4 linked regions of the Drosophila melanogaster genome follow. Changing the gene in region 1 together with any one later gene gives a genetic interaction. Each region holds a gene or a part of one and is shown in the gene's direction. Other genes may lie near its edges.

The links.
Region 2: of sl (region 1) and ru, changing one suppresses a phenotype caused by changing the other (phenotypic suppression), as found in Drosophila melanogaster (one study listed by BioGRID).
Region 3: of sl (region 1) and Rack1, changing one enhances a phenotype caused by changing the other (phenotypic enhancement), as found in Drosophila melanogaster (one study listed by BioGRID).
Region 4: of sl (region 1) and Dcr-2, changing one enhances a phenotype caused by changing the other (phenotypic enhancement), as found in Drosophila melanogaster (one study listed by BioGRID).

What each region holds. Positions count from the first base shown.
Region 1 is NC_004354.4:16,348,674-16,356,343, forward strand, and holds the start of sl (small wing), read left to right. Parts: upstream 1-1,641; 5' UTR 1,642-1,912; coding exon 1,913-3,217; intron 3,218-3,575; coding exon 3,576-4,056; intron 4,057-4,121; coding exon 4,122-4,975; intron 4,976-5,042; coding exon 5,043-6,113; 3' UTR 6,114-7,670.
Region 2 is NT_037436.4:1,368,672-1,373,665, forward strand, and holds the start of ru (roughoid), read left to right. Parts: upstream 1-1,956; 5' UTR 1,957-2,209; intron 2,210-4,994.
Region 3 is NT_033779.5:7,824,815-7,829,077, reverse strand, and holds Rack1 (receptor of activated protein kinase C 1), read left to right. Parts: upstream 1-1,831; 5' UTR 1,832-1,908; coding exon 1,909-2,017; intron 2,018-2,096; coding exon 2,097-2,308; coding exon of another isoform or gene 2,309-2,317; exon of another isoform or gene 2,318-2,544; intron 2,545-2,741; coding exon 2,742-3,377; 3' UTR 3,378-3,731; downstream 3,732-4,263. Other genes in the region: mts (microtubule star), read right to left, coding at 925-1,026; CG7115 (uncharacterized protein), read right to left, coding at 4,195-4,263. UniProt on the Drosophila melanogaster protein: Involved in the recruitment, assembly and/or regulation of a variety of signaling molecules. Interacts with a wide variety of proteins and plays a role in many cellular processes.
Region 4 is NT_033778.4:17,575,512-17,583,424, reverse strand, and holds the start of Dcr-2 (Dicer-2), read left to right. Parts: upstream 1-1,899; 5' UTR 1,900-1,998; coding exon 1,999-2,019; intron 2,020-2,079; coding exon 2,080-2,210; intron 2,211-2,331; coding exon 2,332-2,509; intron 2,510-2,948; coding exon 2,949-3,256; intron 3,257-3,312; coding exon 3,313-4,009; intron 4,010-4,072; coding exon 4,073-4,630; intron 4,631-4,696; coding exon 4,697-4,871; intron 4,872-4,929; coding exon 4,930-7,913. Other genes in the region: CG6484 (uncharacterized protein), read left to right, coding at 1-183, 600-1,295.

The sequences.
Region 1 (7,670 bases):
TGTTGTTGCTGCTGCTGTTGCTGCTGTTGTTGCTGCTGTTGCTACTGCTGTTGCTGCTTCTGCTGCTGCTGTTGTTGCTGCTTCTGCTGCTGGTAGAGGCTCCTTTGAATTTGACTTCCTTCTCTTCTTTAAGGCTCCGTCGATGTTTAAAGATGATTTTTTTTTTTTTTGCACGTTTTATTATTTTTGTAGTCCAGTCAGATTTTTTGTTTTTTAGCCATTTATTTCGGCATTTATGCTCTTTTGGCATATACACTGCACTCTATTTATGAGCTGATTTAATGCTATTAGAGCATTTATAAGGCACTGTTTTCAGGCACTTTTTATTTAATTTATGCTCTTATGGCATATACACTGCACTCTATTTATGAGCTGATTTAATGCTATTAGAGCATTTATAAGGCACTTTTGTTATGCACTTTTTAATTTCACAATTGCTGATGTATGGCCTCAAGCACGCCTTACCACAATTTATAATGGTACACAAAGCAACCTTTAGCTATAGACTATAAGGTGCTTGTTTTAAAACATAAAAGATTCTTTTGTATCTTTTGCTTTTTATATTTATACTCTGTTCCTTACCTTTGGTAGGGGGAAACAAGAGTCACTTATTTTTGCTACCTTTAGCTGTAAGATGCTTAAAGGAGCTGGCCTTTCTCTGAGTTCCTTACCTTTGGTAGGGGGAAACTGCAGAGTCGATTAAAGGCTCGATTGACCAAATGTAAAATCCCAAATAAGAAGACTTTACTCGTTGAGTTTTTGTAAGAAACTGATTTTATTTGGAAATATCTTCGGTTTAAATAGGTGACATGAGAATCGCATCTTAAAGTAAATGGCCTACGCAGAGGCCTAAGTAAATAGTCCCCGCCTTATCGAGGTCCCACGCTCGGGCACATCTGCCTATCTTGAGCGGCGAGGACCTTATCTGTGGTCTCCCACTAAGGGACTATTTTAGGAGGCGGGGAACGATCTCAAGTGACTGACTCATGTAGTGTGCACTTAAATTACATGTTTTTGAGCAATGCACCCATGTCGCCTTAGATAACAAAATCCTAAATATAATTTATCGCTCTCGATTCATTTACATAAGATATGAACGGAGCCCAAAATTGTAAGTCTTTAAATATATTCGTGTTCATGTGTGAACAGGTAGAAAAGCAGACAACAACAATCAGTCAATTGCCTAAGCTTATTAATTTGTAAATCTATTTTAAATACAATATCAAGAAAACTTATGTTCGTTTGGTTTCAAGTTAGTTAGTTAGGAATTCTTCAGGTCGGGATTTATTTTCCTATCTACATAAGGTGAGTTATAATAAAAGCTTTAAGCTTCTTCGATTTGGTTGGTATGCTTAGTTTTGCTTTATTCAAAACTAGGAATACTATTTACATAACGAATTTTTGAATCGCACTTCAAAACAAAAGATAAAACTGGTCACACTTTAATATTTCAGTTATTCAAGTATGTAAACAATGGAGCAATTTTTAAGCTAAACTTTTAAATAAAATAGTCAATTTATTTTTTTATTTCCTCACAATTCGAAATACACCGCAGTGTGAACGCCCCATTTGCGTGGATTTAGTATTTTCTGTACCCACATTACGGCCTGGCAACACTGGCACTTTCCTCAACAGCTGGCTTATCTTATCTGCTTCTGTGGTATTTTTTGGGTACAATTCGGATATTGCATTGTTAATCTCGGTTTATTGAGTCCCAGTGGCCGTGATTTGTGCATCGACCAGTTGGAAGAGAGGGAGCAGTTGATCTGCGAATAGTTCCACGCGCTGGCACCCATAGTTTGTATGCATTGCACTTAGTCTGGCGATCGGTTGGCGAGGCGAGAAACAACCTGTGGCAGCCAGCGGATGAGAACTGGATTCGATAGGAATCGACACGTTTGGACCGGACAGGATGAGCTGCTTTAGTGCGATGAGTGCCCCGCTGCTGGGCGAGATGGAGCAGACCATTGGTATGCTGGAGCGCGGCACCATCGTGACCAAGTTGTATGGGAAACAGCGTCGTCCGGATCGCCGCCACCTGATGCTCATACGAGAGACACGACAGCTGCTCTGGGCAACGGTGGCCACACAAACGCCACGCACCGACTACGAGGGCGCCATACAGCTGCGGGAGATTCGCGAGATACGGGTGGGCAAGCACTCGAAGGAGTTTCGCCTGTTTGCCGACGACTGTCAGCGCTTCGAGTCCAGCAAGTGCTTTGTCATACTGCACGGCAATCACTTCAAGCTGAAGAGCTTCTCGGTGGTGGCTCTGTCGGAGATCGAGGCCGACAATTGGGTGCGGGGATTGCGTTACATGGTTAAGGACACACTGGGAGCACCCTATCCCTTGCAAATTGATCGCTGGCTGCGTCGCGAGTACTATCAAATCGAGAATGTTAACACGCATTCCGCCAAGGCCACGGAACAGTCGCCAGCCCAGGTGACCATTAAGGACTTTAAGCTCTTTTTGGCCGGAGTTAGCTGTAAGATGACCACCGGCAAGTTCATGGAGCACTTTACCGAGGATGTGCGGCGCAAGCACGATCTCAAGTTTGATGATTTCTCGCGGCTATATCAGAAGTTGCTGCTGCCCAACGGATTTGCCAGCGTCTTGTCCGGATCGGGAGTGGCCAACTTTCCCTATTCGGAGGACCAACAGGTGGTGCGACCGGCGGAGCTGAAGCAGTTCCTCGAGACGGAACAGCGCGATGTGAGCGCCAGTGAGATCAGTAGCGCAGCCATTGCCTCCTTCATTCGGGACTTTGTTCAGGACGTGGAACGTGATGTTCAGGAGCCGTATCTCACCTTCCCGGAGTTCGTCGACTTTCTGTTCTCCAAGCAAAACGACCTGTGGAACAGCAAGTACGACCAAGTGTTCATGGACATGAACCTGCCGTTGTCCTCCTACTGGATCGCATCGTCGCACAATACCTACCTGACGGGCGATCAGTTCTCCAGTGAATCCTCCTGCGAGGCCTACGCCCGCGCTCTTCGCATGGGCTGCCGTTGCATCGAGTTGGATTGTTGGAACGGGCCCGACAATCTGCCCTACATATTTCACGGCCACACCATTACCTCCAAGATCAAGTTCATGGATGTCATCAAGACGATTAAGGATCATGCGTTCACCAGTTCCGAGTATCCGGTAATATTGTCCATAGAGCAGAATTGCTCCCTGGAACAGCAGCGGAATATGGCGCAGGCCTTGATCGAGGTAAGTTGACCTAATCGAATCTATTAATAACAACAATTTATATATTCCATGCAAACAGGAGATCTGCATGTTTGCTTTTTGATTCATTCGCTGTAATAATGAGTTCTTTTATGGCTTTCTGTGAGATTGCCTAACTTAATATATAATTGAAATGGATTTTGTATATTTCGATAGTTGGGAATATGTATGACAATATGAAGAATTCGCTTTTTATTCGTTTGAATCTAATTATAAATGTAACAGAGCAATATTTTTAGTTACTTAGATTTCAAGACGATGGTAATTAGATATTTCTTGATGCTTTAAGTATTAATCGCATAAAAATCCATTGACTTATACCTTTTATGACCCATTACAGGTTTTCGGGGATATGCTGCTTACGCAACCTTGTGATCGAAACGAGCAGCACTTGCCATCGCCATACCAGTTGCGTCGCAAGATAATCCTGAAGCACAAGAAGTTGCCGCAGTTTGACGACATCGCGAATGGGATTTCTAGCACGGGTTCACTGGGCCATAGATCATCGTTGGGCGGAGCGGGCGGTGGAGCGCATGGGGAGAACGATGGCGAGAATGTGCGCAAGGTGTTCAAGGAGGGACTGCTCTACTTCAAGGATCCGGTCGATAAGTCCTGGAATCTTTATCAGTTCGTTCTGACCCATCAGGAGCTAATCTACTCCTCTGAGATCAACGAGTCACGCAACGGAAACTCCGAGGATGATGACTTTGGGCTTTCTTCGTCGTGCTCCCTAAACAGCAATATGCAGCAAAAGCAAAAGGATACCTCGGCCAACGATGAGCTGCACTTCGGCGAGAATTGGTTCCATGGGAAACTTGAAGGTGCGTTTATTGGTTGACATATATGCAGTATATTCCATTTGTTTCGTTAACAATTTGCATTTTAGGTGGCAGAAAGGAGGCTGATGATCTACTAAAGAAGTACAAACACTTTGGCGATGGTACATTTTTGGTTCGGGAATCGGCCACGTTTGTGGGAGACTATAGCCTTTCGTTCTGGCGACGTAATCGCCCGAATCATTGCCGCATCAAGTTAAAGCATGAAAATGGATCGATCAAGTACTATCTAGTGGAGAATTTTGTATTCGATTCACTGTACTCACTGATCGTTTATTATCGCAAGAATATGCTGCGTAGCTCAGAGTTTTCGATTATACTGAAAGAGCCAGTTCCGCAGCCGAAAAAGCACGAGGATCAGGAGTGGTTCCATCCGAACACCACCAAGGAGCAGGCCGAACAGGGTCTATACCGGCTGGAAATTGGTTCGTTTCTAGTGCGGCCATCGGTGCAGAGCATTAACGCTTTTGTCATTTCGTTCACAATCAATCGAAAGATCAAGCACTGTCGCATTATGCAGGAGGGACGCTTGTACGGCATCGATACAATGAACTTCGAGTCTCTGGTCTCGCTGATCAACTATTATACCCGAAATCCACTCTATCGCAATGTTAAGCTCAGCCATCCGGTGTCGCAGGAGCTGCTGCGTCAGGCGCTAGCGGAGGCGGCACAGGGTGATCATAGTGGCGGTCACGATGACAACGGTGCCTCCAACTACATGGGCTCCAATCTGGAGGAGAATGTCACGTGCAAGGCGCTCTACAGCTATAAGGCGAACAAGCCAGACGAACTCTCTTTTCCCAAGCATGCCATCATAACGAATGTCCAGAGGGACAACTCGATGTGGTGGATTGGAGATTATGGTGGCATGATCAAGAAGCATCTGCCGGCAAACTACGTTAAGGTGAGATGCATATATAGATTTATTTGAAATTCAACTATATTCAACTCTTGAAAATTCCAATGTCTAGGTTATCGATTCAACTACCGAGGACTACAATTCGCTGAACGAAGAGGGCACGGATGGACGCACCGATTCCATTGAGATTTTCGGAGCTGTTGCCTCGCTCTTTGAGTCCAACGATCCGGGGATTATTTTCAAGCTGCAGATACAAACGCCAACGATGCAGAATCCGTTTGTGATTGGCTTCGACAATCAGGAGACGGCGTACGAGTGGATAAAGGCAATCCAGGAGGCAGCCCTTATCGCCAGTCAGCTGGCATCGGAGAGGCGGAAAAAGGAGCGCACTGCCCGGGTGGCCAAGGAGATGTCCGATCTGATTATCTACTTCCGCAGCGTGCCGTTCCGCGAGCACTCGTGGATATTTCAGGAAATGTCGAGTTTCCCCGAAACGAAGGCCGAAAAGCAGTTCTTCCAGCAGAACACACAACTGTTTCTCTCCTACCATCGCAATCAGATTAGCCGAGTGTATCCGAAGGGTCAGCGCCTGGACTCGTCGAATTTTAATCCCATGCCATTCTGGAATGTTGGATCCCAGATGATCGCACTGAACTATCAGACAGGCGATAAGGCCATGCAGCTGAATCAGGCCAAGTTTCGGAATAATGGACAATGTGGCTATATCTTAAAGCCATCGTTCATGAAATCTGACAGCTTCAATCCGAACAATCCGCTGTGCGATGGCCTAAGCGAAGTTAAAGTTAGCATACGTCTGATAGCCGCACGTCATCTATTCCGGGGCGGCAAATCGAACAATCCGCAGATCGTGGTCGAATTGATTGGCGCTAGCTTTGATACGGGCGTTAAGTATCGCACCAAAGTCAATGAAAATGGTTTCAATCCGGTGTGGAATGAATCGTGCGAGTTTAACGTGCGTAATCCACAGTTTGCGATCCTTCGCTTCGAAGTGCAGGACGAGGATATGTTCGCCGAGACGCACTTCATCGCCCAGGCGTGCTATCCGCTGACCTGCATTCGCCAGGGCTATCGCAGCGTCATCCTACGAAATAAGTTCAGCGAGGAGCTGGAATTATCGTCCCTGCTGATCAACATTAAGATAGCAAATGTTACCGCACCGTAAGAGGATTGCTGAGTTAGCTGGATCAATATCAATGATTCCAAATCGAGTGTTTGCGAAAACAATTGCGCTAGATCAAAAGGAAAGCGAACTTAATTCGCAAAAGCAATTTATCAACAACTTGTACATAAGAACATTTCATCGAACTATGAACCTGATTCTCTCACTTGTAATTTGTCTAAAAAGCTTAGGATCTGAAACGTATGATTTAGATTTAGATTACTTTCTATACACATCAGCAGTTATGGTTAGTTCATACTATACAATGAGTATTCAAATGGTAACAATGAATTCTGAACTCCTGGAACTGAAATCAAGTTTATGTAATCCGTATAATTTGTACACTTTTCCATAACACTAAGCATTCAAGTCTGTTGTCCTCTAAATGTTGTATTTGTGCGTGAGATTGATTCAGGAGAATAGAATGATACGAATATGTTTTAACTATTCGTCACCTCATTATAAGCATAAGCAAACCAGATTTGATTTGATTTCGATTTAGGGAACTTGAGCTATTTCCATTTTACCAGTTTTACCATCAAAAGTTAAGTACATTAAGTTGATTCCAAAATTAGAAATAGAAACAATTCATAAACAGCTCAATTGGCATCAATTTAATGGGCATTTGATATTCAGTTTCAGGATCAGCTTTTCATAAGTATTATATTACAATCTTCTTAAAGACTTTTAACTGAAGAAAATAGACCACTTTCATATGTTATCTGGAAAACTATTTTAGACCTTTCTCTTAGCACAAATACTCAAACAGCATTTCAATCATTTAGCATTTACCTTTTTTATTTTCTCTTTTAAAGCTTAAAGTAATAATACAATTTATAAAAAAAAAAGGGCAAAGGAAATTTAAACCACTTTGATTACATATGTCTTCCAGTTGTTTAACAATTACGATATACCACATAATTGTGTCTATGTTATTTAACCACGATTGTTGTAGCTAATGTTACAAAAACTAAAAGTTTGCAAACAATATTAAAATAAAATGTAATTATTCAATTACATTTAAATGAACGTGCCTTAAAATTCGAAATGATCGAAATTTTAAATGTTTGAACGTTAACTATTGAAGTACACCTGTTGCTAAAATAACAAATATTTGAAAAATAATAATATAGCTCAAAGATATCTATTTTTTATAAAATCAAAGTTCTAACTTAGCTTCTTCTCTAAACTGCGAAATCTAAATATCTAAAGCCTAAGTTCAATAGACGTATTATTACTAAATGCATTATATAATTTATATATCTAGATATTCATAAAATGCACTAGTCGATTTAAGAAGTGGAAATTGTGCTCCCTATGCGAATCATTTAGGATTTTAATCTGAAACTATTTGCATTCCATACGAATGCCCCACTGAAACGATCGATATCATTTGTCTTGCACTCGCATTTAATTATTTAACAAACATTCTGCTGTTTCCATTCGCACAATAGTTCTAATTTGGACATTTTGCGCGTTTGAGCGCATTAGCAAATCATGCTTAGTATATATGTATGTGTATATGTACCCAAAATGTATTTCATTTGTACGTTCCGTTTT
Region 2 (4,994 bases), on another chromosome or scaffold:
CTCTTTTGTTATTTTTGTGATTTTTTATTTTTGCTTTGCGCAATATTTTCACCTTGTTTTTTGTGTGTATTATTTTTGGCTTTTATGATTTTTTCTTTGTTTTCGTTTCATTTTCTTCATTTTTTTTTGTGCAATTAAACACGTTGAAGAAAATATAAAAAAATAAATGGGCAAGAGTGAAAATGAGCGAGGAAAAAAATATACAAAACACGAAAAAAATGACAGCTTAAAAAATTGTCTTTTTAGCCCATGCAATTTTTATGGGCAAATGTTTATCCTGTGTTTTCTATTTTACGACTGCGCGTAATGGAATTGAATTGAAAGTGTTTTCTTTGGTCGCGCTGGAAAAACATTTGCGGCACAAGATATTAATTATAAGCTTTTTAGTCGTTGCTAGTATTTAGTGCTAACTTTTAAACCAAAGCATTTGGTGCCTTTTTAATTTATTATCGAGCTACCTTCTTCATATTAACTATCTAGTAATGTGGAAGAAACTTTAATCTTAGTTTTAGTTATTTTATAGTAACTAGCTTGCATTTAATTCAAATTGCAAACAGCACCCCTATATTATATTAACAGTTATCCTCTTGGCACCCTTAATTTCATAAAAAAAGGGGGTCCATAGACCCTATTCAACTGCCACCTTATTCATCTTGAAGTCAATTCAAATCCAATCTGCGCGATTCGAGGTGGTATTCGCAGGGCGAGCGAGCGAGATAGCTGCTGTGTGGGAGTGAGAGGGGGCTAGGGCGGTACAAAGGGTCGGGCAGCGCCCTCATCAGCTGTCAGCGGCAGCAGAATGAGGCCCATTTGATGAAGATGTTTCTGCAATTGTTAAGTGTATCTGGGCCCTTTCGATGTTTGCTGTTTGCTATTTGCTATTTGAGCTGGGAAATGGAAGGAGGCCACAACACATCAAAATTATACTCGATATGTTAACAAGTTCAGATACAAAAGAGATGACTGGTCCCAAGAGATGCCAGAGATAGCCCACATAAATAAGTATCTCGTGGCTGGTGGTAGCTCGTATCTCGTGTCTTGTATCTTGTATCTCGTGTCTTGTATCTGATGGATGCACCTATTGACACCCAATAAACAAGGCGAAAACAGCAGCTGCGACCGAAGTGCTTTGATTTATTTATCAGGGGCAAGAAATCAACGTTGGGTGTTTTTTTTATCAAATCTATCTAATTATACATAAACTTTTACTTTTTTACAGTACCAAGATCAGTTTGCAAACGAAAAAACATTGGCCAGATATAATTTGAGGCATAAGCCTCGCTTTTTTTGTTTCCCCCAATTGTTTCACATTTGGTAATGCAATAATTGAGTTAATTAGCCAAAAAGGGAAAACACTGTTTCACAAATGGATTAAGGGGACAAAGATGCTAACTTAATAAGTGACTTGTTAATTATCCGTCGGCGGCTGCATCTGCAACTGTCTCCCTCTCGCTCTCCGTCTCTCCACTTTCTCTGTCGCACCTGCAGCTGCCGGTAAAAGCCAGCTGGCTCCTGGCTATCCCTCTCCCTTTCACTCGTTCGCCCCATCTCACTTCCTCACGTGACTCCTTTGCGTGTACCGTTCACCGGATGGTGGCCAAAAAAAGCAAAAAGCCACGACAAAGGAAAACTTGGCAACGCGTTCGAACCTCGAACATGTTTGCTGCACCTGGCTTTATTGTTCAAAAGGGTGGCTTAAAAGGGGGAGGCGGTTTGCAGGGGGGGGGGGGGGTTTCTTACCTTGGCCAGCAAGAGCCGGCTTTTCGAAAGGGGTGCAAAATGGAAAAAAAGCACACACACACAAACACACGCACAACTAACACAGCGGACTGTGCACATGTAAACCCTCCGGTAAGGAGGCTCTACCCCTTTCGGTTTTTGGCCAGGCCGGCACTTTGCGAATCTATAAAAGTATCGGGCCGCATAAAAAACGAGCTCAGTTGTGAACGGTACTTTGTAACGGCAACCGGCGGCAGCACGCGCAACTAACGGTTCACTGGAAAAGTAGAGAAAAACCACCGAGGAAAAACTTAGTGGAAAAGCACCGAACATTCGTACCGTTCGTAGCATTTACTGCTCGGATCGACTGCCGCAGTAACTTGTCGCTCATCCTCGAAAGAAATAAAAAATAGAAGCTGCAACCAGTTCACATAATCCTGCCCCCCCCGGATGGCCTGCACAAGAGTCAACCATTTCATCACCCCCCTCGGTAAGTCATAACACCCCCCGCCTAGGATTCCCACTCTCAATCCCCCATCTATTCCATATCTCACCCACGGAGATCCCGGCAAAACCCCCCAAAAAAATAAATCCATCGGCTTAAAACTTGGCAAAACTCAGCTCCAAACTCAACCATGCTGAGCTGAACGTATTTGACTAGAGCGAGCACTGCAAAAAATAAAGGTGTACTTCATGGTGCGAAAAATTATCGCACTGAATATATAATATTCTCTTTTACTGCCGTTAATATCCATCCTCTATTTATAACAGAAACCAATCTTATTAGTTAGCCATCGCAGTTTTTGTTTTCAGTGCATGTAAATCTGCATCTGTCAGTGCGGCAGCAGCTTCAGCATCAGTATCTCTGTCTGCTTTGTATCTTTTGGGTTGTAAAAACATCTGTGCTTGTCGTTCGGCATCCGTATTTGCTGCCGTTTGCAACGGGCCAACTGCAATGCTACCAACCACTCCCACCCACCCAGCCAGCCACCAGTCGCACATTGCGTATACGCAACGTGGAGCGCGGATTTAACTAAAAACCGTTTGCGCCCGAGCTGTCAGCAAATGGCAAGCACTTTCCGTTGAAATCTCCCCCGGGTCACCCGGTTTTTATATATATATGTATGTGTGGGCTGCCCTGCTCCATTTTCGATATCTTTTGTGGGATCTCGGACAAGTGCTACTTCTGGCCAACTTCTGGCCAGAACTTCTTGGCCAGCTAGCTACTGGTTGGTTGGCTATTCGATTTCCATTGTCTCTTTTCGAATGGAAACCCATGTGCGTGTAGGCAGGAGTGGCCAACGATCGATGGAGAGGGTCTGTCTGTGCGTGTGGGCGGTCCTCGGAGCTCCCAGTTTGGCCATCCATCTTGCCACCAAACCCACCAAGTTCGTGTGTCTCCAGGGCGAGAAGACGCCACATTTGGCTCACTTTTGTTTACACTTTGATTTATTTACGCAGCCTCGAAAAGTATTTCATTCAATCGCAACGATGCGAATTTTATTCACTTTCCGAAATTTTTCTATTCTCGTGAAACTTTTGCTAAACATAAAAGTGCCAAAGTCTCGAAATCGAAATGGAAATCAAAACCAAGATCCGTTTCAGATGCACAAATCATGGACAAAATGACAGGGGAGTTGGGGCTGCCTTGGGCTTTTGTCACTGGTGAAGTTTTTGTCGAGTGCATGAAAATACGAAAAAATTAATGCGTTGGCTATTCTTGAAAAAATCATACGCAATGCATTTTAATTTTTCGTGTCTCTTGTTCGTTTTTTGTTTGTAAATATATAGTTTTTAAATGTGTCAAGTTTGCTTTTATACGCGTCAGAGTGAGAGAGGCAACGCCGAAAATAAAAACAATATAGCGAAACAAACAAAAAAAAAAAATGAAAAAAAGTCGAAAAAAGACCCAAAGACCTGATTTCAGGGTGGCTTAGTTTTGTTTACCCATTTTCGGGCCACTTTTCTTTTACTAACGTGTGCAGAAGTGAAAAAGTTTTAAAGATATATGGTAAAAAAAAGTTTCCCAAGTCATATTTGTATCAAAGGAAAGCTGTGAATTAAAATTACTATCCAAGTTGTAAGACTTTAATTACCATTTGCTTCCGTTTGCTGAACTAAATTTGGCCAAAACTTCTGACTGCTATTAAATTCAGCAACTGATTTGTGTCGTTCTCCCCCATTTTCCAGCGCAGAAGTCAACAGTTTATAGTGTTTAATCATTCTTAAGCTGTCTCCACCTCCGCACCACCCCTTCACCCCTTCACCCCTTCACCGCTCTTCCCTTTTGGATCACCTTTGACCTTCATTAGTGTCAGACCCTCTCGCATTCGCATTAATCTAGGCAGACATTTCAAGTTGAGCTGTTGCAAGACAATGGCTCAAGCAGTTTTGTAGTTTGTCTTGTCGGCCAAGGTGCACACGCACACACTCCAGATACAGATACAGATACATTGATGGTATCTTTGAGATACTCACTCGCACAAACGCATACAAAATAGAGCTCATAAATCAGTGCAGAAGCGAAATAGTGTGTAAAAAATTGTTGTGCAACTAGGCTTTTCTGAACCAAAAATGTTAACAAATATTTTCAACTTTTAAGCTAATCAATTTAACTTTCAAATAACAAGTATATATGCTGCTAGTTAGTGCTTCAGAAATTGAATAAATTCCGTAAGAAATTGCCGGATTATGCAACCATTCGAAGTTGCACCCCCGCCAGCCCCCACTGCCCACCGACCAGCCACGCCCCCGCCACGCTGAGGCGCCCCAAAGTCTCAAAGCGACACAAACAAAGAACTCGAGTGGCGTGTGTGTGTGTGTGTGTTGCACAAAACCGACGCGAAACGAAAAGTCCGAAAAAACAACACACAGTCGGCTGAAGGAAAAACCTTCGCGGCGGAAAAACAAAAAATAAGCAGAGCAGCGATGTGAAAAGTTGAATGCCTAACAACTTGAAACACGCTAAAAATGCGAAAAAAGAGATCCACACACAAAAAAAAAACAATAAATAAAGAAAAACAAAAGTCCAAAGATGGAGCACACAATAACTATAACAACAAGAACAATGAGTCGGAAAATGTGGAAATGTCTTGGGAATCTTGCAAAATGGATGAAGCTGCTGACGTTGTTGCTGCAGTTTGCTGAATTAGATAAAAGTTTAGGAAATGTTTATGCTCGAACTAAGGCGCAGATGAATAGCGCAGGAACTCCTTTTACCAAATACCCTCGATGGAGCAGCCAAGGGTGCAAAAGTCTATTGGGATTCACATGCA
Region 3 (4,263 bases), on another chromosome or scaffold:
CCGCAGAAGACGCACCCGAGAAGAGCGAAGAACGTTCTTCTCGGAGGGAGAACGGAGATTCAAGATTCTAATGGGAACACTGACAAATATTTGGGTGACGCAAACATAACCCCACTTACTCCTAAATCAATGAATCGTTATCTGTTCACCCTCTCTTTTTCTCTCCCTCTCTTGCACTCTTTTTGCTTGTCTGTTTGTTTGTGTGCGCGACGCGCCTGATGAACGGTAAAATCGGCAAATTAAAAACAATTGATATCAAAAGTGTTTAATTGAACATGGTTGGTCATAAAAAAAGGAACACAAACACCAATGCAAGTGCATTATTCTAGAATTGAGATACGACGGTACATAGATACATATTCTAGGGGCGCGCACACACCGACGCACAAAAACATTAAGTAATATTTACTCAGCAACGACAAAACGCGCATGAGGTTGCACGGAGCGGGGGTGCTCAGTTTCCGGTGGACACAATAACAACAACATTAAACACGCACAATGCACTTTAGTTAAACAATCAAATTGTACAATAATACAAAAAGAAATATCTCTTTTTGCCCAGGTTTAGCCCATTAGACCAAAGCGCTGTTCTAGCTGTCGCATTCACGCACGCACTTGCCCGTCCCGTTGTCCCGCTCGCACTTGTGCGCGGCAATGCGGCGCTTGGCTGTTGGAATTTACCAATATTCCAATATGGCGACGCAAGCCGCCGCTACTGTGCGAGCAAGAGGGCACGACATGAATCATGCTCTCGCGCTCTCCGCTCAGCGCCTCTCCCCATTGGAAAGAGCGAGAGGGCCAGAGACACGCAGCGTTGGAGCACCATTTGCAAAAAAAAATCGCTCGCTCGCATGCAATGACGAAAATTATTTTTATAACATCTCCTAATTCGCATGGGGAAAATGGGCAAGGACCGGGCCTTACCTTGTCGCAGAGGGTGCGAACTTGTGTCTCTGTCAACTGATTGCATTCGTTCAACTGCTCAATCCATTGATCAAGATCTTTTGTTGTTGCTTTATCCTCCATCGCAGTTGTGGTGGAAGAAAAAGTCTCGTCAATCTTTGTCGATTCAATTTTGACGGCTTTTATTATAACTCAGGGGTGCAGGAAAATTAGCAACTACTGTTGCGTTCGATTGCCAACCGCGTATTCACTCGTTTATCTCCACACAATTGCCAATCGAATCAACTCGATTTGGGCGATTTTCTTCGTATTTTTTGTTCACAAAAGAGACGACGACACGATATACGAAGGGAAAGACTGCCCTCGGTGTGACCGATTGCCGCGAAACGCTTAAGAACGCGCTGTGTGTGTGTGTATCGATTAGCGATGCATGCTTGACATTTCTACAAAAATACCGACTAAAACTTGTGGATGGTATCCTTACTATTTGGCCAACAGTTACCAAGTAAAACTAGAAAATAAAGTGGGATCAACGCTCACCGTTTTTTTTACATTATTACGTGATAGTGACAAAATAAAAGTATGTACATAGGCATTTGGGCAACAAGATATTGGGATTGTTTTAAAATCCTTTAGTAGTCTTTTCATAGATGTGCATTAGCGTCGATTATTTCTTAAATAATAGCACAATTTGTTTTAAAACTAAACTTCAATATTTCTGGGGTTCTTTAGATATAATAATATTAATACTTGGTGTAAAAGTATTTATTTTTTTTATATATATTTTAAAGTTTTTGATATTATTATTTGACGTTACATTTTACACGTATTATTTGTAACAGAAAATTCAAACTATCGATAGTTTTGTCCTGTCCAACACTGAACGCTCGCTGACAGTTGGCATCTTAGCGAGCACTGGAACCGGAACTGCCTCTTTTTCTGCCAGCTTGCAGCGCCTTTGGACGTGTTTCCTTCGCGCTCCGTAGCAAATAATATAAACTCAAGATGTCCGAGACCCTGCAATTGCGCGGTACCCTCATTGGCCACAATGGATGGGTCACCCAGATCGCCACCAACCCCAAGGATCCCGACACCATAATTTCGGCCTCCCGTGGTAAGTAATCGCCATTGAAATTCTTCGGATTTATCTGGTAGCACGTGCGTATATTAATGGCCACCATCTCGATTCGCAGACAAGACCCTGATCGTGTGGAAGCTGACCCGCGACGAGGACACCAACTACGGCTACCCCCAGAAGCGTCTCTACGGACACTCGCACTTCATCAGCGACGTGGTGCTCTCCTCCGATGGCAACTACGCCCTGTCCGGATCCTGGGATCAGACCCTTCGCCTGTGGGATTTGGCCGCCGGCAAGACCACCCGTCGCTTCGAGGGACACACTAAGGTGGGATAAGATTCCAATTGCATTTAGTTCGTTTAGGGAACTGAGATTTTGAACCGATCTGTACCGGCAAAAGGCTAAATGTAAGGTTAGGAGTGAGGTTAGGCCCGCCTTTGCCGCGTACAAATCGAAAAAATATATATTGCGCCTATGCGAGGCAGAATTACTGGTTGACATCTGTACGACGTACGCTTCACCCTTCGCTCGAGTCTCGGCTATAAATTGCTTGAAGCTCCATCGTAAGTAGGCAAACAATCTCTGATACCCATTGATTCCTAATTAGTTGCAAGAAACCCATCTGGATTCCGTTCACTGACTAATTGAGTTGGGACTATGCCCATTCAGTTGGTCAGTGAAATATCCAGTAAATATATTATTTTTATGAAAACCATACCAATACCATTAGCTAATCGTCAAATGCTTGTTCGCTTTCTAGGACGTTTTGTCGGTTGCCTTCTCGGCCGATAACCGTCAGATCGTGTCCGGCTCTCGGGACAAGACCATCAAGCTGTGGAACACCCTGGCTGAGTGCAAGTTCACCATCCAGGAGGATGGCCACACCGACTGGGTGTCGTGCGTGCGCTTCTCGCCCAACCACTCCAACCCGATCATCGTGTCCTGCGGCTGGGATCGCACCGTCAAGGTCTGGAACTTGGCTAACTGCAAGTTGAAGAACAACCACCACGGCCACAACGGCTACCTGAACACGGTGACCGTCTCGCCCGATGGCTCCCTGTGCACCTCAGGTGGCAAGGACTCCAAGGCCCTGCTGTGGGACCTCAATGACGGCAAGAACCTGTACACTCTGGAGCACAACGACATCATCAACGCCCTGTGCTTCTCGCCCAACCGCTACTGGCTGTGCGTGGCCTACGGACCCTCGATCAAGATCTGGGATCTGGCATGCAAGAAGACCGTTGAGGAGCTGCGCCCCGAGGTCGTTTCGCCCACGTCGAAGGCCGATCAGCCCCAGTGCCTGTCCCTGGCCTGGTCCACCGACGGCCAGACTCTGTTCGCCGGCTACTCCGACAACACCATCCGCGTCTGGCAGGTGTCTGTTTCGGCTCACTAAGCTACTGACCTTTGTAACGGGCGTCAAATTTGTTTAGCTAAAACAAAAATAAAATTTAAGCGTCCTTAACTGAAATTTGTGTATCTTGTAGCGGCTGAATTAGTTTTAACTTTAGGCTTTGGGCTATAGAGTTTTCTCCGGATAGATGGGAATAGTATAAACAGTGGGACAATTTAGTTTAGGCAGAAGATAAGTAAATGTTAATAAAGAAAACATTTTATATAAACTTTAATCGAAAGTGGATGTTTTTAATCCCTAAACTACAAACCAGATCATTTCATTGAAATCCAAAACGAATAATGTTGAGAAAAACAATTAGAAATTGAATTTAAGTAGCAAAACGAAATGTTCTCGTTTCGTATGCATTGTTTTATTCGTAAAAACATTTCGACATTTAGAAAATGTTTTCTTTTACACGTATAACAAATAAATTAAATAAATAGTTACGTGATGATGTTACCCTGACTGAGTCAGTGACTGTGATGATTTTCGTGTGCGAATTGGAAAAACGGAGTGCACGGCAATGTGGCGGCGGATGCAAACATATTTTGTTTAAACAAAACAACATTGACTAACAAACAACCTTAATATTAAGACAAATGATGAACGCATTTTCGAGTGATGAATGTGTATGCATGTCTGTAATGGGATGAATGAACGCTGCCTTTGGACAAGTAACAAAAAGGTCAAAAGGTATTTAGCAAAATGCCTAACTAGAAAAATTCGGGCACTTTCGTTTGTTTTTCTTGGGGAGAAGGAAATTTTTAGGAGAAAAGCTGAAGAGCATTTCTTAGCAGGCACTCTTATCTATCGTTTTTCATTTGGTTTTGATTGAATTCGAGCGTTGCACAACTGCAGGCGCAACTGGTTGAGATTTGGCTGGGAC
Region 4 (7,913 bases), on another chromosome or scaffold:
CTGCCCGTAATCTTTGCTATCATACACTTCTTCATGCCGGAGTCACCCGTCTACCTGGCCATGAAGGGACGCAACGATGATGCCGCCAAGGCCTTGCAGTGGCTGCGCGGCAAGGATGCCGATATCGATGACGAGCTCAAGGAGATCCTGGAGGAGTCCCAGAAGCAGATTGATATGCCACAGGTTAGTTAACATTCCACTAATAATCAATCAATCAATCAAAATCGATCGATATTGAAGGCATAAAGAAACTTTATAAAGGGTTCGCAGGGCTTTAACAGATTTATTACTCTTTCCATTATCACACAATCGGAAGTGATACATACATATACTTACCCTGATAAAAGAAATGTTGTAAATTCAGATAGTATATAATATTTTGTTTTCATTCATTAAGATTTTCAATAACTTGAACCAAGATAGGGTTTGCATTAAACTTAAACGATTTCGTAGTTAAACTACATATGAACACAGGTACGTAATTTGTTTCCATTATTCCATTTAGTAATCAGTGTAGCAGATACTACTTATCATACCTAATAAATACATTGATTTTGGTGAAGATTAGAAAATAATACGTGGTCTTATTTTTATTGCAGGTCAACATTCTGTCCTCCCTTCGTCGACCCATCGTCCTGAAGGGTCTTGGAATCGCTGTGCTCCTGCAGGTCTTCCAGCAGTGGACGGGAATCAACGCCGTTCTCTTCTACTCCGCCTCCATTTTCGAGGATACGGGCTCTGACATAAGTGGCAGCGATGCCACGCTTATCATTGGAGTCACCCAAGTGACCAGCACGCTGGTTGCCGTGGCCATTATCGACAAGGCTGGCCGTCGCATCCTGCTCCTTATCTCTGGCGTTCTGATGGCCGTGTCCACTGCACTGATGGGCGTGTACTTTCAGCTAAAGGAGAACGATCCGGCTTCAATGGACAATTTCGGTTGGTTGCCGATCAGCAGTATCTGCATTTTCATAATCTTCTTCTCGATTGGATTCGGACCGGTGCCGTGGCTGGTGATGGCGGAACTCTTCTCGGAGGATGTGAAGAGTGTGGCAGGATCGATTGCCGGCACCAGCAACTGGCTGTCGGCCTTCGTGGTCACGCTGCTCTTCCCAATCCTCAAGAGCTCGATCGGGCCGGGTCCGACCTTTTGGATCTTTACCGCGATCGCGGTCATCGCCTTCTTCTACTCTCTGTTCTTCGTGCCGGAGACCAAGGGCAAGACAATAATCGAAATCCAGGACCTGCTGTCCGGAGGAAAGGGTGTCAAAAGTGATGACAAGAGCCAGACGTGATGATGTCGCGTAGTCTTAGTCGTAGCGATACTTTTTCATATTCTCCTTAAGCCAATAAGAAAATGTTATGTATAAGAAGTGAAGAGCATAATCAATAAAGTAGAATCACCATGTATATAAACTACCCGATTGAATTTTCGTTCATTTCCGTCAGTGTAGTTCTAATTAGACTCAATTAGTATAATTCTAATTAGTTTGACAAGATTTTAAGTCTTGGAAAAAAATGAGGAAATAAGAAACTTTACTCGTATGGAGGAGGGCTGCAAACGAAGGTCTAAATGATCTAAGGATAGTATGGGTCAAAAAGTGATGTGATATATTCTTAACAATTGGTATTGATTAAGAATTCAAATAATAAATAATTCACGAACTTACACTACCGAAAATGCTTATTATTTTGTTGCAGATTTCGATAAAAATGGAAACGTTTATTATTTCCGGAAGGTATATTATTGGCAGCGAGCATTTCAAAACAAATTTATTTATGTTGCGGTTTGTGGTAATAATTTAAGTTCAAAGAACCGCACTGCGTAGTGTGACCAGTCCGTTTTGAAACACAATTCTTAATACGTTTGACACAAGGCATCTTATAAGAGCCGCTGGCCACTCTGTCACCGGCTTCTTTGTTCTTTAATCGTAAATTATTTGACTTCAAATTGTAATATCAAAATATCCCGAAGACTCTGTAACCAAGAGCGAAGATATGGAAGATGTGGAAATCAAGGTAAAATGAATTGGCTTGCGCTCTCGCTTATTGCAAAATAATTAACAAAATCCTTTCCAGCCTCGCGGCTATCAACTTCGCCTGGTTGACCACCTAACGAAGAGCAATGGCATTGTCTACCTGCCCACAGGATCTGGGAAAACGTTCGTGGCCATCCTGGTCCTAAAGCGCTTCTCGCAGGACTTTGACAAGTTAGTAGCGAATGGATATACATATATATATTATTATATGTATTACCTATATCCGATACTTACATTTATATATATATTATTATATGTAATACCTATATCGGATTCCGATTTGTTTACACAGACCCATCGAAAGCGGCGGAAAGCGTGCGTTGTTCATGTGCAATACTGTGGAATTGGCCCGACAACAGGCGATGGCCGTCAGGCGGTGCACCAACTTTAAGGTTGGCTTTTATGTGGGTGAACAGGGAGTGGATGACTGGACGCGCGGAATGTGGAGTGATGAAATCAAAAAAAACCAAGTGAGTATAGGATGGCGGAGGCATTTTTTATATACGCATATGATCACGTACGGACTAAACACTACACTACCACTACACACTGCAATTGCGATCACCACTTGAGTCGAAAAATTTGGGATCAGCATTTTTATGGGCTCGTAAGGGGTCGTGTTTTGCTAAGCCATCACAAAATCATCATTTCGTCAATTGATGTATTTTATTTGTTTTTTTTTTTTTTTGTAGTATGTTTATTTGTTTATTTATTTATTTTATTTGTTTATTTAAAATTAACTTGAGTTTGTGGATTGTTCTGGATCATCGAGTAGTAGATTTGATGGTCATTTTTATTACATTGAATTCATGTTAGACTTTTCAGTGTAATTCGAGGAATATTTATAGTTAATAATAATACACTGCTTCCAGAATTAAACCTACATGTGTAATTTTTGGTTCTTAACAGGTTCTTGTTGGCACAGCCCAGGTCTTTTTGGACATGGTCACCCAGACGTACGTGGCTTTAAGCTCCCTGAGCGTTGTCATCATAGACGAGTGCCACCACGGCACTGGTCACCACCCATTTCGTGAGTTCATGCGATTGTTCACTATCGCTAATCAAACAAAATTGCCGCGCGTGGTGGGTCTCACCGGGGTGTTAATCAAGGGAAATGAAATTACGAACGTGGCCACGAAACTTAAAGAGCTAGAGATCACATATCGGGGAAACATCATTACCGTGTCCGACACCAAGGAGATGGAAAACGTGATGCTGTAAGAGCGGGTGGCATTTTAGCTACAGTTTCCCAACAAGTGCATATTCTTTTCAGGTACGCCACCAAGCCCACAGAGGTCATGGTGTCCTTTCCACATCAAGAGCAAGTGCTCACGGTTACAAGGTTAATAAGCGCAGAAATTGAAAAGTTCTATGTATCCTTAGACCTCATGAATATTGGCGTTCAACCGATCCGAAGGTCAAAGTCATTGCAATGCCTGCGGGATCCGTCGAAGAAGAGCTTTGTAAAGCAACTGTTCAACGATTTTCTGTACCAGATGAAAGAGTATGGCATCTACGCAGCTTCCATAGCCATAATCTCGTTAATTGTTGAGTTCGATATAAAGAGGCGCCAGGCCGAGACGCTAAGCGTGAAATTGATGCATAGGACGGCCTTGACCTTGTGCGAGAAAATCCGTCACTTGCTGGTGCAAAAACTGCAAGACATGACTTATGACGACGACGATGACAACGTAAACACTGAGGAAGTCATTATGAACTTCTCCACCCCGAAAGTGCAGCGATTCCTGATGAGTCTTAAGGTATCCTTCGCTGATAAAGATCCCAAAGATATCTGCTGTCTGGTCTTTGTTGAACGCCGCTACACCTGCAAGTGCATCTATGGCTTGCTGCTCAACTACATCCAGTCTACGCCTGAGCTGCGAAACGTGCTCACGCCCCAATTCATGGTGGGCCGCAACAATATTTCTCCAGACTTTGAGAGCGTCTTGGAGAGAAAATGGCAAAAATCTGTAGGTGTGGAAATTATCGTTAATTGCTGATATTTTTCAAAATATGCTCTTACCGTCTCGCAGGCCATTCAGCAGTTTCGGGACGGTAATGCCAATCTTATGATATGTTCAAGCGTCCTAGAAGAAGGCATCGATGTGCAGGCCTGCAATCATGTCTTTATTCTTGATCCTGTTAAAACCTTTAACATGTACGTGCAGTCAAAGGGTCGGGCTCGTACCACTGAGGCCAAATTCGTGCTGTTCACAGCTGATAAGGAAAGGGAAAAGACAATTCAGCAAATTTATCAGTATCGAAAAGCGCATAATGACATTGCCGAATATTTAAAGGATCGAGTTCTAGAAAAAACTGAGCCAGAATTGTACGAAATCAAAGGGCACTTCCAGGACGATATTGACCCTTTTACCAATGAGAACGGTGCCGTGTTGCTTCCCAACAATGCCCTGGCCATACTGCATCGCTATTGCCAGACAATTCCCACGGATGCTTTTGGCTTTGTGATCCCCTGGTTCCATGTATTGCAAGAAGACGAACGTGATAGAATATTTGGTGTTTCTGCCAAGGGCAAGCACGTAATTTCAATCAACATGCCAGTAAATTGCATGCTAAGAGACACAATTTACGTAAGCTAGAGATTCAGATTGAAAATGGCAAAATCAAATAGAGTTAATTGCTTTCATTTCTTTCAGAGCGATCCCATGGACAATGTTAAAACAGCCAAAATATCAGCTGCCTTCAAAGCGTGTAAAGTACTCTACAGTTTGGGAGAGTTAAACGAGAGATTCGTGCCCAAAACATTAAAGGAGCGCGTAGCCTCTATTGCTGATGTTCATTTTGAGCACTGGAATAAGTATGGCGATAGTGGTGGGTTCACAAGAACTCGCATAAGATATGTTTACTTATATTAATCTTTCAACCATAGTGACTGCGACAGTCAACAAGGCCGATAAGAGCAAGGACAGAACCTACAAGACCGAATGTCCATTAGAGTTTTACGACGCACTTCCGCGGGTAGGTGAAATCTGTTATGCCTACGAAATATTTTTGGAGCCGCAGTTTGAATCGTGTGAGTACACGGAACACATGTATTTAAATCTCCAAACACCAAGAAATTATGCTATATTGCTGCGGAACAAGCTGCCACGCCTTGCAGAGATGCCCCTGTTTAGCAATCAGGGTAAGCTACACGTTCGAGTGGCCAATGCACCACTTGAAGTAATTATCCAGAACTCCGAACAGCTGGAGCTGCTCCATCAGTTTCACGGAATGGTATTCCGCGATATCTTGAAGATTTGGCATCCGTTCTTTGTGCTGGATCGTCGCAGCAAGGAGAACTCCTACCTGGTAGTTCCTCTCATACTGGGTGCGGGTGAACAGAAATGCTTTGACTGGGAACTGATGACCAACTTCCGAAGACTACCGCAAAGTCATGGGTCAAATGTACAGCAACGCGAGCAACAACCTGCTCCACGTCCTGAAGATTTTGAGGGCAAAATTGTTACACAATGGTATGCCAACTATGATAAGCCCATGCTGGTCACAAAGGTGCACCGTGAGCTAACACCGTTAAGTTATATGGAAAAGAACCAACAGGACAAGACCTACTACGAGTTTACCATGTCAAAGTACGGCAACCGCATTGGTGATGTTGTTCACAAGGATAAGTTTATGATCGAGGTCAGAGACCTTACGGAACAGCTCACTTTCTACGTTCATAATCGTGGAAAGTTCAACGCGAAGAGCAAGGCTAAGATGAAAGTTATTTTGATTCCGGAGCTATGCTTCAATTTTAACTTTCCTGGGGATTTATGGCTTAAGTTGATCTTCCTACCCAGCATTTTAAACCGCATGTACTTCCTTCTCCACGCAGAGGCCTTACGTAAGCGATTTAATACGTATTTAAACCTCCATCTGCTGCCTTTTAATGGAACTGATTACATGCCCAGACCACTAGAAATTGATTATTCGCTAAAGCGGAATGTCGACCCCTTGGGCAATGTCATACCAACTGAGGATATCGAGGAGCCGAAATCCCTTTTAGAGCCAATGCCCACAAAGTCCATTGAGGCGTCCGTGGCCAATCTTGAAATAACAGAATTCGAAAATCCCTGGCAAAAGTATATGGAGCCGGTTGATCTGTCGCGAAATCTTTTGAGTACGTATCCCGTAGAGCTGGACTACTACTATCATTTTAGCGTTGGTAATGTATGTGAGATGAATGAGATGGATTTTGAAGATAAGGAATACTGGGCAAAAAATCAGTTCCATATGCCCACGGGTAATATCTATGGCAACAGAACTCCGGCCAAGACTAACGCAAACGTGCCAGCTTTGATGCCGTCGAAACCGACTGTCCGCGGGAAGGTAAAACCACTGCTCATTTTGCAAAAAACTGTTTCCAAAGAACATATAACGCCAGCGGAGCAGGGCGAGTTTTTGGCTGCAATCACTGCCTCGAGCGCAGCGGATGTTTTCGACATGGAACGCCTTGAGATTCTGGGCGATTCCTTCTTAAAACTTAGTGCCACGCTCTACTTGGCCAGCAAGTATTCGGATTGGAATGAGGGCACTCTTACAGAGGTCAAATCCAAGCTTGTGTCTAATCGTAACCTGTTGTTCTGCCTCATCGACGCGGACATTCCCAAAACGCTCAACACCATTCAGTTTACGCCTAGATACACATGGCTTCCACCTGGCATCAGTTTGCCCCACAATGTTCTAGCCTTGTGGCGAGAAAATCCGGAATTCGCAAAGATTATTGGCCCACACAATCTCCGTGACTTGGCTCTCGGCGATGAGGAGTCCCTGGTGAAGGGCAACTGCAGCGATATCAACTACAACCGCTTCGTGGAGGGATGTCGAGCAAATGGGCAGTCCTTTTATGCCGGTGCCGATTTTTCATCCGAGGTGAACTTCTGCGTGGGACTGGTCACGATTCCCAACAAGGTGATAGCCGATACCCTTGAGGCGCTATTGGGCGTAATCGTTAAGAACTACGGATTGCAGCATGCCTTCAAGATGCTAGAGTACTTCAAGATTTGCCGTGCGGATATTGACAAGCCGCTTACTCAGTTACTGAACCTCGAACTGGGCGGCAAGAAAATGCGGGCGAACGTGAATACTACAGAAATTGACGGCTTTCTCATAAATCACTATTATTTGGAAAAAAATCTTGGCTACACGTTTAAGGATCGACGATATTTGTTGCAGGCCCTCACCCATCCCTCGTATCCCACTAATCGCATCACTGGGTCCTATCAGGAGCTGGAATTTATTGGCGATGCCATACTCGACTTTCTAATCTCTGCCTATATTTTCGAGAACAATACGAAAATGAATCCGGGCGCCCTCACAGATCTGCGTTCCGCTTTGGTCAACAATACTACGCTGGCCTGCATTTGCGTGCGGCATCGGTTGCACTTTTTTATCCTAGCGGAGAACGCAAAGCTCTCCGAGATCATATCCAAATTCGTGAATTTCCAGGAGAGCCAGGGTCACCGGGTTACCAACTATGTGCGCATTCTGCTCGAGGAAGCTGATGTTCAGCCGACTCCGCTGGACTTGGATGACGAATTGGATATGACTGAGTTACCGCATGCAAATAAATGCATTTCTCAGGAAGCAGAGAAAGGAGTCCCACCAAAAGGTGAGTTCAACATGTCCACAAACGTGGATGTGCCAAAGGCGTTGGGGGATGTTCTGGAGGCCCTTATTGCAGCCGTATACCTGGACTGCCGAGATCTCCAACGTACTTGGGAGGTAATTTTCAATCTCTTCGAGCCGGAGCTTCAGGAGTTCACGCGCAAAGTGCCCATCAATCATATACGACAGCTCGTTGAGCACAAGCATGCGAAGCCCGTGTTTAGCTCGCCCATCGTCGAAGGGGAAACTGTAATGGTTAGTTGT